Linked DNA regions of Struthio camelus. The protein of the gene in region 1 purifies or fractionates together with the protein of each later gene. This does not show direct contact. Links are inferred from orthologs where the notes say so. Each region holds a gene or a part of one and is shown on either strand. Other genes may lie near its edges.

Evidence for each region. The genes of interacting proteins can lie anywhere in the genome.
Region 2: the proteins of IKBKB (region 1) and PRKCQ purify together in Homo sapiens (affinity purification with western blotting; 4 studies listed by BioGRID). This does not show direct contact. The link is inferred for Struthio camelus from reciprocal best matches to the Homo sapiens genes IKBKB and PRKCQ.

The regions. Positions count from the first base shown.
Region 1 is NC_090968.1:7,907,143-7,914,892, forward strand, and holds the start of IKBKB (inhibitor of nuclear factor kappa-B kinase subunit beta), read left to right. Parts: upstream 1-4,627; 5' UTR 4,628-4,712; coding exon 4,713-4,817; intron 4,818-4,917; coding exon 4,918-5,012; intron 5,013-5,750; coding exon 5,751-5,868; intron 5,869-6,607; coding exon 6,608-6,677; intron 6,678-7,750.
Region 2 is NC_090942.1:4,823,579-4,831,772, forward strand, and holds the start of PRKCQ (protein kinase C theta type), read right to left. Parts: upstream 3,310-8,194; 5' UTR 3,189-3,309; intron 3,034-3,188; exon of another isoform or gene 2,929-3,033; intron 2,872-2,928; exon of another isoform or gene 2,715-2,871; intron 270-2,714; exon of another isoform or gene 73-269; intron 1-72. UniProt on the Homo sapiens protein: Calcium-independent, phospholipid- and diacylglycerol (DAG)-dependent serine/threonine-protein kinase that mediates non-redundant functions in T-cell receptor (TCR) signaling, including T-cells activation, proliferation, differentiation and survival, by mediating activation of multiple transcription factors such as NF-kappa-B, JUN, NFATC1 and NFATC2.

The DNA of each region.
Region 1 (7,750 bases):
ATGCAAGCAGTAACGTAACTGCCATGAAACTGATTTAGGGACACCTGGTTATTGACTGTTACCACAGGGAACTCCTGGTTGTTGAGGAAAAAGGTGATTGGACGCTGCAGAGAGAACAGGTGCTAATTTGTGTTATTTATAAAGATTCCAATTATTTGCTACTGGACTTCTAGATTAAAGATGCCAACAAAGTGGTGGTTGGGGACAGGATTCAAAAAGTTATTTTATTTCCTGGCTTTTCACAGCTCGTGTTTAAGGACACTTCCTGTAAAAAGATTTTTCTGCAGCTGACTAGAGAGCGTGGTATAAGTGTCATTTGTAGTGCTTAACATACTTTAGGAAAGCCAGCAGTAAGCGTCTCCTGCTTCAACATAACAGCCACCATCTCCTGGCTTACCTCTAAGCTGCTCCTCTCTCAGGACAGGGTTTCTGCAGGCTACCGTGTTAGTGATGAAGTGTGGAGCCTAGTCTGTCAGGATGTTGTCTGGGCGCTCTTCATCAAGAATGCAACTGTTCAAATGCTTTGTGGATCCTCTACATTCAGTTCCATACCAGCTGCAAACTCCAGGGCATGTAGGAGGTCTGGAGGGGACTCGGGACAACTTTGGTTCAGGCTGTACGTTGCCTAACTATAACTACCATAACATCTTTACTAAATACATATCAAACCTGGAAATTGGAAGGTTGGGGTCGGGTCTATTTAACAACATTAAAAGATGCTAAGTTGAGAACTTTAATCTCTAGAGAAAAGTTTAATCTGCTATGCCTTTTTCCGGTAGTGTGCATAGCTCTTGGTGAAGGGCTCAGGTGATCTCTGGAGATGCTGAGAGCACTGGAATTCATGTTTTGGGGGGGGGGGGGGGTGCCTTTTGGGGGGGAGTTGTTTTTTGTTTTTCTTCACAGACAGTATTACTTCACATGTATATGTGCTATCCTCATCACAGTAAAGACTGCATCAACAGTTTCATCTCTCTGTGACAGACCAATGTTGAGGTTGCTTCCCTTTGCATGGTTGTCCATACTAATAATTAGGATTAGATTGATATTTTAAAAACAAGTAATTGTCACCTATGGTAGACAGCTAAATACCTTTAAAAATCAGTTTTAAGTGTCCAAATGCAGACAGTCCTAAATCCAACTTGTTACTTGTCTTACGTAGAAGACCTATAAACTGTTCCAGCTTTATTTTTATTATTAAGTGGTAGAGAGTACATTCAGAGGTGCCCAGACTGGATGTAAATCTAATTGTGCTTCTTCGAATATCCCATTATAAACGTGTACGTCAGCATATCAAACCAAGCATAACACGGTCCTGCTCCAAAGAGCTGCCTGTCGCCCTCCGCTCTCTCTAGAGAGGAAGGTGCATGCTCACTGCTGAAGCAACTGTGTGTCAGAGACTGCACCCTCCTGAAGAAGGGTGCTGCTCTTAGCCATATCTTTCTGCATTAGCTTTGTATCTTAAATGATATTTATGAAACCGTTCGGTGTAGAAATCTGTGTCCCAGGATAATGATATGTGATGGATGAGTGAGACATTGAAACTAGGGTAGCAGGAGATAGGTATCTGCATGAGTGGCAGATAGGTATCTGACAAGACGGACTCTAGAGTGTTAGGTTCTCTCATGCGTATAGCTCTCAGTGAATTGCAATACTGCTTATTGCTAAATGCGTTAAACAATAGTATTATGGGGTTGGATGTTTTCTTTGGAGCTGGGCTTTTCGGGGTTGTTGGAGTGTGTGTGTGTGTGTGTGTTTGCAGCATGCAGAGTTTGGGCACAAGGCAGTAAAGAGAGCAGCGCTCCAGGCAGCTTAAGTTCAAGAGCCCCCTCTGTTGCACGTTTGCTGGAACCTCTCTACCAATGTAGATATAAAATGAAGCCATTTTCTGGTTTCATGGGGGAAAGTTCACTGTCTGCTAAGGTGAAAGAAGTATGTTGTGGTATGAATAAAGTATTTGCACAGATCACTGCTTTATAGTCACTGTACCTCTGCCTTATACAAAATCCTCTTAGGGATTATTCTCAGCGTTACTTGAAGTACGTGCAAAAAGCTACTCAGATTCTGCCGTTGTTCTGCTTGTGACTAGGTCTGAATGTTTTGATGCACAGAAGTAATTTGATGAAGTGTTCTAGCAGTAAGGAGGATAGACTTTTTTGAAAATGGATGCTACTGGCAGGGACGCCAGTTGCCTGCATTCTCTAGAGATGGACTTTTGGTAACAAAACCTCAATAACCATGTCAGAAGTCTGTGCGTCCCCCTTCTGGCAATCCTTTGCTGCCATAGCTGTGGAGGATTTCTGGCACTCTCTTTGGGCAGCAGCTTTCCTGAGCAATCAGGATACGGAATGTGCTTTTGTCCTGGAAGGTATGTGTTGAGCAGCTGATCTTGACTGTCTTCTTTCAGTGCAGTGACTGCCAAACCTCCGTCTCCTCTCGTAGGATGTATTGATGCATTTCTGTCCTGATAAGTAAGTTCAGTCTAATGCCAGAAGCCAAGTTTATTGTGGTCACTTCACTCTGCACCTTCTCTGAGCTCTGTTATTTGAATAACAGTACTGTTTCACCCTGTGCTGTCTTCTCCACCTAGGCTGGCCTCACTCTGATTAGTTACTAAGTCTTAGTTTTATAAATAAGTTTATAAATAAGCTTTATAAATATGTTGCTGAAAATGATTATCAGCAACAGCTCCTTATTCTCACATGGGTACTTGGTACTAGGTGAAGAGACTCTGTGCTTAACCAAGGACTTCCTGTCAGGCCACTAACTGACACAGGAAGAGCATTGTTTTTTTTTTTCCTGAAGAGTTATGAGGCTGTAACAGGCTTTCTCTATGCCTTTCCTGAGTGGCAATCATCTAGTTTGAACAGGAATTAGATGGGCAACTGGGAGACTGGTCATAGCTGTTCTGTAAAGACTTAATAGTCCAGGCATCAGTATCCTGATCTGACAGCTCTGCTTCTGAATGTGTGAGCAAAATTCTGCTGTAGAAGCCTGGGTTAAGAGGAGGGTTGTAACCAGATCCGTAACTATTAAGGACACAGTGTGTCGTTGTCTTCCCATCCCATGTACGCTGTGCTCTGATTCAGATCTACCTGTTTATCAGCAATTAGTAGCTTTTGTACCCAAGAAGAGCCTGAAAAATTGTTTAGAAAATGGGCTGCAGGCCATGTGCATAGTGGAGGCAAGATTCTTTGGAATCCTTAGTACAAAATGACCACACCTGAAAGAACAGTTGAAAAATTTGTCGAGTTTATGCCATTTAGCATAATGGCAAAGACTAGGGATTTGCTTGCATTGCAGTCTAAAAGTGGTATTGCAGCTCTTCACAAAACTAGTTCATAAGCATAAATAGTTTAGGTGTACTGATAGTGCCTCATGACGTGTTGGATTGCGAATCCCCTCTAGATCCTTAGCTAAGTATTCTGGCAGCCTAGCAGGACTCTGAATATTCTTTGCTTTCATCCAGTTTCATCCAGCTAAATACTCATAGCTCAGACCTGTCATCTTCAGCTGGCGTTACACCCTCAGAATGTAATCCAGAGATGGTTGATCAAGCAGTTTGTATTCTTCAGAATGCCTAAGCTCATCCAAACGTTTATAGTGAAGAAAGCTCTTTGTGTAACTGAGAAACAACGAACTGTTAATCCTTTTTCAAAGGAACAGCAATACAGAATAGGGCAGACTTTGGCATCGGATGCTCCCATACCGTTCCATCTTTGGTCTGCCTTCACTTTTACTTTCCCCCCTCCCTCTCAAAGAGGCTTAGCGCGCAGGAGCAGTTGTTCCTCCTGGGCAGCAGTTGCATTCCTTTTCCGTCAGACTGGCAGTTCCTTCCCCAACAGGCTCGCTCTTACTGTGCCCAGAACTCAGAGTAGTTAGCTCCTTCGAGGTAAGCACAGACCACTTAATCTTTTCTGGCTACAGTACAGGTGTCTCTTTGGAATTGCAGTTAGCTAAGAGAGGCCTCCAAGACTGGAAGCAATGGAGGAAGAAGTGCCGTGTGATGTGTTTGTTTAGCAGAAGCTGGCAACAGAACAGAGGTTATTGACAAGAGATAGGATAAACTTTTGTACAAACACATTGAGTGGATTCAGCTGTCTAGCTGTGCCATGCTTGTGGTCTGCTGTTGGCCTACATTCCCTCCCCCAATGGCACAGCTGTGCTTGGTGGCCCTGGCAGCCTGCAGTGGATGTGACTGCCTGTGCTGCATGTCGAGCTGCATGCTTCCCTCCCTGTGCCACCATGCATGAGTTTGCAGTGGCATTAAAGCACCTAACTTCACCCAACCCATAGCAAGTCGTCAGGAGAAAGCAATACCTAAAAATGATGTAATGCGCAGAATGGTACTTTGATTTGGGGTGGTGGGGGCTGAGATAAAATGTACATTTCAGTACCTTTAGCAGATTTTAATGAAGTTGTGGGAAGGAGACAGCTGCTCTGTCACTTTAGGTAATTAAATAGCCCATGAGCTCTACTCCCCCTTTCCCCGAGTCCTCGACTTCAGACAGACGAGCAGACGCCACCGACCTCCGGGGGAACGAGGGGGCTCGCGGCGCCCCCCGGCGGCTCGCGGCGCCCCGCGCGGCTGCAGCGCGCCCGGCCCGCGGCCCCTTTCGGGGCGGGCGGCCGCACCACGTGCCCCTGGCGCCGGAAGCGGACGCAGCCGCGGCCCAGGCCCTGCGGAGCCGGAGCCGGAGCGCCGCGGCCCCGCCATGAGCCGGCCGCCGGCCCTGCAGGCGCAGACCTGCGGCCCCTGGGAGATGAAGGAGCGCCTCGGCACCGGCGGCTTCGGCAACGTCATCCGCTGGCACAACAAGGTAGGCGGCGGCGGCGGCGGCGGGCCCCCTCGCCCGGCCCGGCCCGGCCCGGCCCGGCCCGGCCCGGCCGCGCTCAGCCGAGCCCGCGCTGTGTCCGCAGGAGACCGGCGAGCAGCTGGCCATCAAGCAGTGCCGGCAGGAGCTGAGCCCGCGCAACCGCGACCGCTGGGCGCTGGAGATACAGATCATGAAGAGGTGAGGGCGAGGCCGGCCGCTCCGCCGCCGAGCCGGGGCGCGGCCTGCGCGCGGCCTGCCGCTCCCGGCGGCGCTGAGGTGAACGGCGGGAGAGGCAGGCGGTACCCGCTGCCCGGCCCCGGAGCGAGCCTACCCCTCCACGGAGGCCAGCGCCTAGGAGCCGGGGGCGCGCCCAAGAAAACCTTGCGTTGTGTTTTCTCTCAGCTTCTGCGTCTCGAGGTTTAAAGGCTTCGTTCTCCAGAGGTTGTGCTGCTGTCTCTAGTGTTATAACAGTTCTGCAGCGTGGCTGCTCTTTGGCCTGACTTAATGTTTCTGTTGGGTTCTCTTTCAAGACGCTGGATTACTTGTGTGGGATGCAGTAGCCTGAAAGTAGGTAGGATCTTTTTTGAAGGATGCTAACAGGCTGCGTTAGACTCCTCCCTCGGAGCTACAGGAAAAGGCCTTGCCGAGATCCGTTGTGCCTGTTCACTGGAGGAATGCACTGACCACGCACTGAGGCTATGCGCGCTCGCTGTGCCCTGAATGCAAAGAGTTGAGATGAGTCTCTAGGTCTGTGAAGGATGAGTGAACTGCAGGCCTCGAGAATGCACTGGTTCGGTTTCTAAAAGGATTAACGTCCCTGTAGGGCTTAGAGTGACACGTGCACATGAAGCTGTGGAGCTCTTGTAGAATGATCAGCTTTCAGGTTTCTGCCGTGGCTGAGGTGATATGTATATGTGCCTCGTTTCCACTCCCTAGGCTGAACCATCCCAATGTAGTGGCTGCCCGTGATGTCCCTGAAGGGATGCAGAAGCTTGCACCAAATGACTTGCCACTGTTGGCCATGGAGTATTGCCAAGGTGGAGACCTCCGCAAGGTGAGGTCACTGGGATGGAGATGGTGACTAAGGGGCCTCAGCAGGATGAGACCTGGGGTTTGTCTTCAGAAAAGTTTAGTTCAGAGTATAAAAGCTCTGTTTTTGTCCCCTGCTGCTTCCAAATTCATGTCACGGTAGCTACAACGTTTGGTGGGTTGGTTCTCGGAAAAGTTCCGTTTCTAAAAACTTAAATATTTTCTGAAACTTTCTATGTTTGTCTGGCCACAAGTGATAGGTTGTGGAATTTGCATGTAGAGGATGAGGGTGTGTGAGAGGGATGTACGACAGGCTGTGAGCATGGCCAAGAGCATCATAGGGCAGATCTGTGGGCGTTATCCTTCCCGGAACTGATAAACCTCTATCTGTCATAGGAAAAAATAATTTGTGGCCATTCTGATCTTGGTGTTTTTTTAACCTTTGCTATAACTTGCCCGTAGATAAAGCCCAGAGTGTACAGCTGAGATTAGAGCTGATAATGCAAGGCACAGGGGAAATGGCTATGAAGGGTGGAGATGGTAGAAGGAAGAGGATGGAGGTGATACTGATTTATTCTAGCCACCCTTTCTCCTCTCCAGGATAGACCAAGGTCTTAAGCTCTAACTATTGCTACCAGAGGTCCCAGTCCCATTTCCTTGCTGTCACTGGAGCTTCTTACATTCTTGAGAGCTTATGGGATGTAGACCCTCGCTTAGGACACAAGAGGGAAAGATTACCTATGTTCTGTGCTGCTCTCTTGCAGTACCTGAATCAGCTGGAAAATTGCTGTGGCTTGCGGGAAGAAGCTATTCTCATCTTGTTGTCTGATATTGGTAAGTGTTATTAGTATCTTCAGTTGTCCCAACTGTGGAAGCCCTTTACTGCTGAATCCACTTGAAGGCTATGTGACAGTGACCTTAATGGCTCCATCTTAGGCCCTTGAGTGGTATACTTGCTTCCGGTCTTGTTCTGCCTGTCCTCTCCAAGAAAGCTAACCTCTGATTTTTCCGTTCTTGAAATTCCAGTGTTGAGATGGATTTTCTTTCCCAGCAAAAATGCTACTCAGGATTTCCTGGAAGGTTCTGGATAGCTGAACACTTGCCAAGTGACTCCAGTTTATATTGCACATCATCTCTCCACCCTCAGTTTATTAGCTCATCAACAGGACTGCAGAGTGTGTGTGATCAGTTGTTTTCCATTAGCATTTGGGCCACCAATATGTGGAATTTGAGACAGTTCTGATGTTTGCAGTGTGATGCAAAGATTAGAGAAAGCTGTCTAGAGACTTTCAGGCTGGTGATTGTTGTTCTTTGTTGTTTTAGCAAGCTATGTTGTTGTCGGGGGCTATTGTTATGTGGGTCACAGCTGAGGTGAAGCAGGTGGACGGGTGCTAAGGCTTTAAAGAGAAGAGATTCAAAAAGTGGTTTTGGGGCATGTTGATCCTTAGAAAGCGAGCTTGTGGCAAGAGGAGGAACACGTGTTCATTAGTACTCCTACTGCTAGGCAGAATCTCCTGTCCTTTATGTTCCCAGAGCATTTGTACTCTGCTGTCTGCATTCTTTTACCCCCTTCCTGACCAGGAAAAGATACTTAGAACTGACCGGAGACAGTGGTAGGTTACGTTTAGAGCGCAGTTTGTGTTTATGTGCTTGTGTGTATATGGCAAGAGGGACGGTTCTGAATCTCCAGTTGTGCGATCCGAACCACAACCAAGCAGAACCATTTTCAACTATTGATATAACTTGTTCTTCGGATCACTTACAATCCCTGCTTAGCTGGTCTTCCTAGGGTTACTGTCCTTCAGGAGAAGGCTATATTGTTGATAACTCCTGAAAGTCCAGCCAGATCATTCCACTCTGAATAGCTGCATCTGGGAACGCAACACTGTCAGAAGGGACATGAAGTC
Region 2 (8,194 bases), on another chromosome or scaffold:
GCCATCAAAACTTATAGGCACTGGATCACCTTCTTCAGAAAAATCAAAATGGAAGGGTACACAAAGACAAACCTGGAAAGGATCCCAAGGAGGAAAAGCAAAAATTTGTCATGCTGCGAAATTAAAGTGTGAATTAAATGCTTCCTTCCATCCCTCCTTCCTTGTCTCTCTCTCTAATCCTGTCCTCTGAGGCCCTCCACTTTGGATGCAATAGTGAGGCAGCCGGTGCATTTGTGAGAAGCTCTGAGAGTCGACTGAGTGACTTTCTTTGAAAGGAAGCTCACTTGAAGTAGAAAAAAAAAAAGTTAGCTCCACCCTGGCGGTGTAATAGGTCCTTGTTCATAGCTCCCTTTGCTATGAACCTGCTGTGTGTTGGTGGCAGTGTGGTTCCTTTCCTCTACTGTATCTCACAGGCTTCAGAGGGACAGAGAAGTTCTCCAAGTCCCTCTGTGAACAGGATGGGCTGCAAAGGGTGTCAGATAGGAGAAGCCTCGTCTAGCCTGAAAACAGGATGGCTACCTCCTCACCAAAACCCCCAGTGTCCTAAAGCAGAAAGATCGGCAAGTTCTCCAGAAAGACATCTGGCACTGCAGGCTTGGAGTGTAATTTTGAAAAATTGGTGTGTATTTCTTGGGGGGGAGGGGGAAGAAAGAAAGAAAATTTTTGCCCTGATTACAAAAACGGCCTGGGTAGAAAGGGGATGCTGAGATGGAAGATGGAGGTTCAGGAGGAATGTGAATCCTTGAAATGACTTTACAAAATCCTAATGGACATCTAGAAGTGGGGCTCAGAAAGGCTAGCCAAAATGTCATGGGGGGAACTCTGGAGGAAATGGAGAGGTTTAGCATCACTCAGGGAGCTCCGGGAGAGTGAAGGCTGCTGGATGTTGAAGTTTCATGTCCAGCCTAGGCACCATCAAAAGAGACCATGGCAACTACCCTCACTGGGATCCAGGTTCAACACCGGTGTCAGGTGTTCAACAAAAGGCCGCTCACCAGGCCTGTGGCCTGTAAAAAAGAGGCTATATCTCAGGAGGCCATCTGCTACCACCAGCTGAACAGAGCCTTGCTGCACCACAACAAGTTGAGGCAGGAACCTCCTCAGAGCAGGTGCTCTTTGCTCATCCTTCGGCTGGGCTCCTAAAGCACATTCCCCAGAAACCAGAAAATGGCACATCAGTGGGGATGTGGAGTCCTTTCTTCAGAGAGCAAAAAAACCAAGCAAATAAATAAAAAAACAAAGCATAGGTCCAGGACCCCATGGAACCGGCTGTTCAAAAAAGTGAAGACCAGAATATGGCACTGCTGCTCATTGCAAACAGCTCTGTTTTTCTCTCCCCCTTCGCCTTTTTTTTTTTTTAATAGCAAGTTCAGTGAAACTTTATCTCTTCCTGCCCTAGTGACCTTACTAAATAATCTGCTATTAGCATGACTCAATTGAGTGGCTTTCAGCTGCTCAAGTCATTTTCTTTGCCACTGCCATTTCACTGGTGGAAATTAAAAAGCACATGAGGAGCTTTCTGCCCCTGCAAAGAGCTGCACTAGTCTGTGTGACTGGAGAAACACACAGCTGAGAAGTTGGTTGCATTGTAATCACTATTTAAAGAGTTCATTAAAAAGGAACTGATTACACCCGAGAGTTTAACTTCATTAGCATTTAACATGCACGCAACACAAATGAAGTCTCAAGGCTGAACGGCCAGGCTGGGTTTTCAAGTCTCCTCCTTCAAAAGGAAATGCCGCTCACAACACTACACAGCGGAGGAGGGATGGAGACAATTCATTTCTCTTTACCACTCAAATGAGCTTTCAAACTTATCACAGTGCTAGTTTGTAAAATATTACAAATTGGACCCGAAAATGATTTACCCAGCTAATGAGCTACAACATCCACCCGAAAACTAAACTTCAACCTGGCTGTCTTACTGCATACTGCTGTAACCAAGAAACACCTAAAATACATCAAAGAAACTAGCAGGGGAAAGTATTTCCCTCTTTTTTTTTCCAATTTATTTACTGTGTGTGTTCAATAACATTCTGGCTGTAGTAGGTTTTCACTGTTTTTCTCAGTCATTTTCCCCTCTTTGTATTGCATGAAGACACAAGGGAGAAAACAACACTTTTTAGAGGCAGGAAAATGTGATTATGAAACCACAAACACTTGCAAAAGACATCAGGTGTATGAACCTGAAAGTAATATAAACTGTTATTTAAGAAAAAAAAAAAAAACAACCAAAAAAACCTTCTGGCTGTATTTCAAGTTGATGATGGCTCTTCAGTTCAGTAACAGAATGAGAAACGATAGCTGAAGCAGGGTAAAATAGCAGCGTCCCGGGTAAAATGAGACATCGACAATCCCAAAGAGTTCCCCAAATTTTTTCTCTCTCTCTCCTTGTGCCTTCAGCCAAGCTGCTGGGTGGTGGAGAGGTGGTTTCTGGGCACCCAGGACGTTAGGCACCCCGAGGCTGCCTCCCTCTTCCCTGCCCAGGGTGTACGCACAGCACATCGCCTTCGTGCACCCAAGGGTCTCACCCCCGACACCTCCGCAGTGGGACAGCTGGTCCGGTCCGGCCCGGTCGCGCACCCACCGCACCGCTCCGCACCGCTCCGCTCCGCACCGCCGGCGGCACCTGCTGCCCGCTCGGCTCGGTGCAGCCCAGCGCGGCTCGGTGCAGCCCAGCGCGGCTCTGCTCAGCCCGGTTCAGCGCGGCTCACCTCGGCTCGGCTCGGTTCAGCTCAGCTCAGCGCAGCTCGCCTGGGCGCAACCCAGCTCAGCCCCCGTCAGCTCGGCTCGGCTCGGCTGAGTCCGGCTCGGCTCCTTTGCAGCGCTGCCGGTCGCAGCCGCCCCCGCCCCGCCGCCTGCCACCCCCGGGGCTGCCCTCGCCGCCTCTTCCTCCTCCTTCTCCTCCTTCTCCTCCTCCTCCTCTTCCTCCGCGCCACCTGGACCGGCGCCCCGCTGGGCCCCCTCCGCTCCCGCCCCCTACCCGGGGCATCCCAAGGGCCCGATCCCTGGGTGGGAAGTGCTGGCGGCCGGGTAAGTACCGTGGTGCAGCCTCGCAAGGAGCCCAGCGTCGGGGCTGGGTGTGCACAACCCCATTTTGCGGAGGAGAAAGCCGTGGTACAAAAGAAATGATCACTAATAATAATAATAATAATAATAATAATAATAATAATAATAATAAGGACAACCTGAGTTTGCTGGGGCTGCAGAGCCTTGTCCTTGTGGCTAGCTAGCGAGGTCTGCTGAGGGGTGTGGAGGGGAAGTCAAGTGGGCTGTGTCTTTCCTCATTAATCTGTCCCATCATGTCATGTGCTTGGCCATCGAGTCTTCAAAACATCTCTCTTCCAGGTGGGCCCTGCCTTGAACTAGGTTTTTAATCTGAAACAAGGCCAGGCTGAGCTGCTTGGTACACCCCTTTCAGGGCTTGAGGGTGTCAAAAGTGGGTTTTGCCCAGGACCTCCCCAAGGACACGCTCTCTGCTCCACCATTCCCATGGCCTCCTCCCATGCTGCAAGATTAGGTGTAATGCCGGGAGGACAGGCAAGTCTAGAGGGGAAAACTGGCCTGGGAACCTGGAAGATGAGTGATTAGAAGGAAAAGAAACTCCAGAAATGTAGGAGCTGAAGGGTTTTGGAGCAGTCCAACAGGACTCCTCCTGGCCATCAGGAAGGATGTGCTGCAGAAGCATGGCCACATGACCAACCCTGTAACAATAATGGGCTATGCTGTCGATAGCTGTCAAATGGGATACATATCCCGGAGACCTGCAGATGTCCGTCATGCTTCTGACAGCAGGAAAGACATACCTATAGAAGACGTGGGGCCACATTCAGGTACTTTCTGTGGATCCTAACACTCTTAGGCAACTGTCAAAGTATCTCAGATGCTTGTTCCCTAAAAAGTCAATGGAGAAAGGATCTGGGATGTAGATTGTGCCACTTTGTTGCTTTGCTGGGGATAATTCTTACCATTAAAGATGCAGGTCTGCATGCCGCCATGCAGACCTGTAAAAAAAAAGATACTTTTTTTTTTTGAAATCTTCAAAATTAATCATTTAGGAATTTTCGGAGCTCTAAGTGCTCACTTTGAGTAAGCTGGAATGTTTATTTGAATGCTGTTGTAGAAAGGCAAGATGTGATTGTTTTGCCCTTGCTGCTGATTCCTAAAACATCAACTACCCAATTATCAAAAGGGAAGGGAAGAGGAAGGGAAGGAAAGTGAAAAGGAAGGACTGCTGGGCTTTTGGAAATTTGGGGAAAATGTATTGCTTTCAAAGAGCAGTTCCCTTCTATTTGCTGGAACACTCTGAGCAACGTATAATATATATCCTTGTTATCAGCAGGAAAAAAAAGGCATTTCATGAGGAAGGTGATCTTTCATTTTAATTGCTGATATGCCATTAAATTATGTATCTATCCTTCCTGCCTGCATTAGAGTGCATTATATTGGGGGGGGGGTGTTGATACTGCAGGCATAAAAGGTTCTTCAACATCAACTGAAGGTGAGCAGCAGATAATTAAAATCCCATGTAACCCTGGAATTTGCCTGAATCTTTAAGGAAAATTGCTGACAAAACTGCCCCTTCTTAAGTTTGCAGCTCCATCAGTTGCTGGTGCTGTTACTACAATTTTCAGGAGTGTCCTGGTATTGCAGATACGCCCTTGCCTTCAGAAGCAGCTGGGAAGGCAGAGCCGGCAGATCAGCTTCCCGCTCCTACAGGCATCTGCAGAAAAGGAAGGGCAGGAGGCACTTCCACTTGCTCAAAAAGTGACCCTAAAGGGAACTTGAGGTGATGGAGACATCAGTGGGCTAGGAGTGGGAGAGGTAGCAGACCTCTGCAGACCCAAGCTGGGTGTTTTGAAACAAAAATCTCTGAACTTTCTTTTTAGTTGTGTGATACAGTAACGTGGTGGGAAGAAGACTGTAGTGTCAGCCTGCACTTAGACCGGATGCGTGCCAGCCTGGGGCATTGCAGCGGCACATTCCCAACTGTGATGCAGCCCCGTGGTCTTCTGCCTGTTCCTGGACCCCTTTGGTGTTGCACCCATAAATGCACCAGATCCCTAGTTGGGGACAGAGCAGCTAGTTACATGAGGATCACTCTGTTTATAGGAGATTTTGCAGGCCTGCAAATGGTTAGGCTCAGGGTTAAGTTCTGGCTATCACAGAACAGTGCTTTAGGCCACCTAGCTCTAAACTCAGGGCAGAAGAAGGCTTCAGCTTGCGACCTCTCCTGGCAAAGCAATTTTTCTGAGTAATGACAAGATCGCAAAGCTGGAAAGGTGCCTCGGTAGGTCACCTCATCCATCTCCCTGCCCCAAGAAAGAATCAACACAAACCCTTTCTAAGGGGGCGTTTGCTCAACTTGTCCCTCCAAGCAAGCAATGGAGACTCCACGCCTGCCCCAGGCAGCTCGTTCCAGAGCTGCTGGAAAGCGTTTCCTTTATGTGTAATCGAAACCTTCCTTGCTGTTATTTAAGCCTCCTTCTTCTCATCCTATCCACCAGGGAAATGAAGAACAGATTTTTCCCTTCTCTTTTCGCAGCAGCTTTTTGCGTTTTTAAAAATGACAGCGCCGTAGTCTGGGAGGCAGCTGCCATATTAATTACCCAGCTGACACAGAGCTTCCACTGAAACATGCATCAACTGCTGTGTATTATTATTGTCATTTAATTTGACTTGTACGACTAATCAGGCATTGCCTTCTACAACAGACGAGGCCACTCCTGTGGGTGTAGGTATTTGGAAACCAAAAGCCCTTAAAGCTGCATCTTTCTGGTGGAAAATATCACCACAAGCCATCGTGTTTTCTTTCCTGTATTTGAAAACCACCCACATTTTCAGTAAAAAAAAAAAAAAAAAAAAATTAAACTGATTGAGCATTTTGCCCAGGCAATGGGCCTTTTTGAATGGTTTCATTCTCAAAATATTTGCCACTGCTGTTTGGTTTTTAAGGATGATTACTTACAAGTTCTTTGTTAATTTATAGAAGATACCAAGGAAAAAATAACCAGGGGACACATTTAATAACAGCTGTGAAGGATGGTCAGAAATTCCTCTTTACTTTAAATTCATTCAAACTCAGTTAATGAGGTATTGAGTTCAAGCACTTGAAAAAAAAAAAAAGAAGGAAATATAGCAGGCTAGGCCATTTCCAGTCTTAAAATAACACTAGAATTGGGCTTTTTTTTTCTTTTTCTCCCTGAAGGTTTCCACTTCTGCTCAACTAAGTGTGTGCTGCATGTTAGGGCGACGTTTACGTTTCGATCTCTTCTAGCAGTCATAAGAAATAGGCTGGGAAAGAACCTGAGAGGTCACCGCATTCGTTCTCCTAGGAGGCAGGTCCGACGCGCCCCAGGCTGGTCCTGTCAGATGTCTGTCCACCCCGCTGTTATACGGATGCAGCTCGGGAGCTCCCTGGCCTCCTGAGAAGAGGACAGGAAATGCAGTGAGCAAATCAAACTTGCAAAACACTCTCTGACGATGCACGTTTCTCAGACGCTTCGCCAGAAAGGGTGCGTAACTATGGGAGAATCTACAGGGTACCGTTTGCTTTTACTGGCTTGAACCTGCACTAAACTAGAGATCTTTATTATTTCTTTCCAACTGGAAAGAGGAATATTATTACTGGAGTTGCTGCAGCGCTACCCAAGAGTTGTTCGTCTCCTGCCACCCGTATGACCACCCGAACATACGGCACAAATCATAGTCCCAAGCTCGTAAAGTTTGCTCAGCAGTGATTTTGTGAAGCTTTTTCTCAGTCTCCATTCGGTTATCTGGGGCTTGATCCTGCAGTATGTCAGTAGCCATGAGATGATGACGTTTGAAATAATCGATTTAAACAGATGCTTAACCATGCAATTCAGGGCACAGGCCCACAGAGGCAGAGCCAATTCCTGCCTTCATCTGCTCATTCCCACGTTCCACCTCCCTCCTGGGCTTGTCCTGTCTCCTCACCCGAGGTTGCATCTTCCTTGCTTTGCTGACTCAGCCTCTCATGTCATCGCGCTCTAAATCAGAGCAGCAAAACGGTCTGAATTTAAGAAAAACAAGTAAACCAAAACTGAAAAAAAAGAAGGGCTGCCCCTTGCCTGTAGCTGGGATCATTTTTGTAGGACATGGCCATGTGAAGAGCTGAGTGGGCTCAGCGGTGGTGGGGAGGAGGTGGGTTGTGGTGGATGGAATGGGTTGAATGAAACCTTTCCACCCAGCTCAGTAACTAAGAGATTCGTGATGTGGAACTGCATGGTCCAGCAAGCAGGAGAGCTGCAGGAGAGGTGTGGTGCTTTGAGGCTGCTAGAAAAAATACCAGGTCATTTGTGAACAGAAGCCGCTCTCTTCTCGCAGAGAATAGTGTCCCCATTGCTTGTACTAGAGCGATACTCGTTCACGTGTTTCAGCATAAAGATACCATCGCTGGTGAAGAGTCTCCCCAAAATGGAGATCATTGAACGCCAATACCCCGAACACGTCCTGATTTTTTGTCTTTCCCTGGGTGTTTGCTGTTCACCGCTCTTGGATACAAGCTACCAGGTTCTGGGGTTGTTGGGCTATTGGTGCACGTTTTCTGCCACACTTAGCTGCTTTATGTCTTTTTAATTAATTTAATGGGGAAATTTGAAGCAAAAAGAACAGTAATCGTCTTTGCAATCACATTGGGCTCTTTTTGTAAATGTATTTATGTATCCTCTGTATTTACTGTCTTCCTAGTTAAAAGAGCTTTAGGTTAAATTCAGTCTGGATTAGCAGAACTCACTGTCCTGGGGAGTAATGGAGGTCTAGAGCTGAGCAGGATTTCAAGCGTATTCACATTTATCTTTATAACCTGCACTAGCATTCAACACAGAAATTTGCACTCCTCTAGAGAGCACTCTAAGGACAAGATTACTAGGAGGCTGGTCAATCTTCTGCTGCCACTGTGCTAACGATACAGGGCTTTTTGTATTGAAGATGAGAGGTGCTTTTGTTTTAGGCCTGGAAGTCCGGATTTTGAGCCTTGCTGCTGACAGCTAGCTCCATGATGTCCTCCCATAGCTGATATCTATACCAAGATATATATAATATATATACCAAGCTATATAAACTTGTGTAAGCTGTGTAAACTGTAGCATAACTGAAACATGAAATGAGCATCAGAGGTAGAAGATGCATATGATGCTGTGGAGGTGTTGCTGTGGAGGTGTCCCTGGAGGCA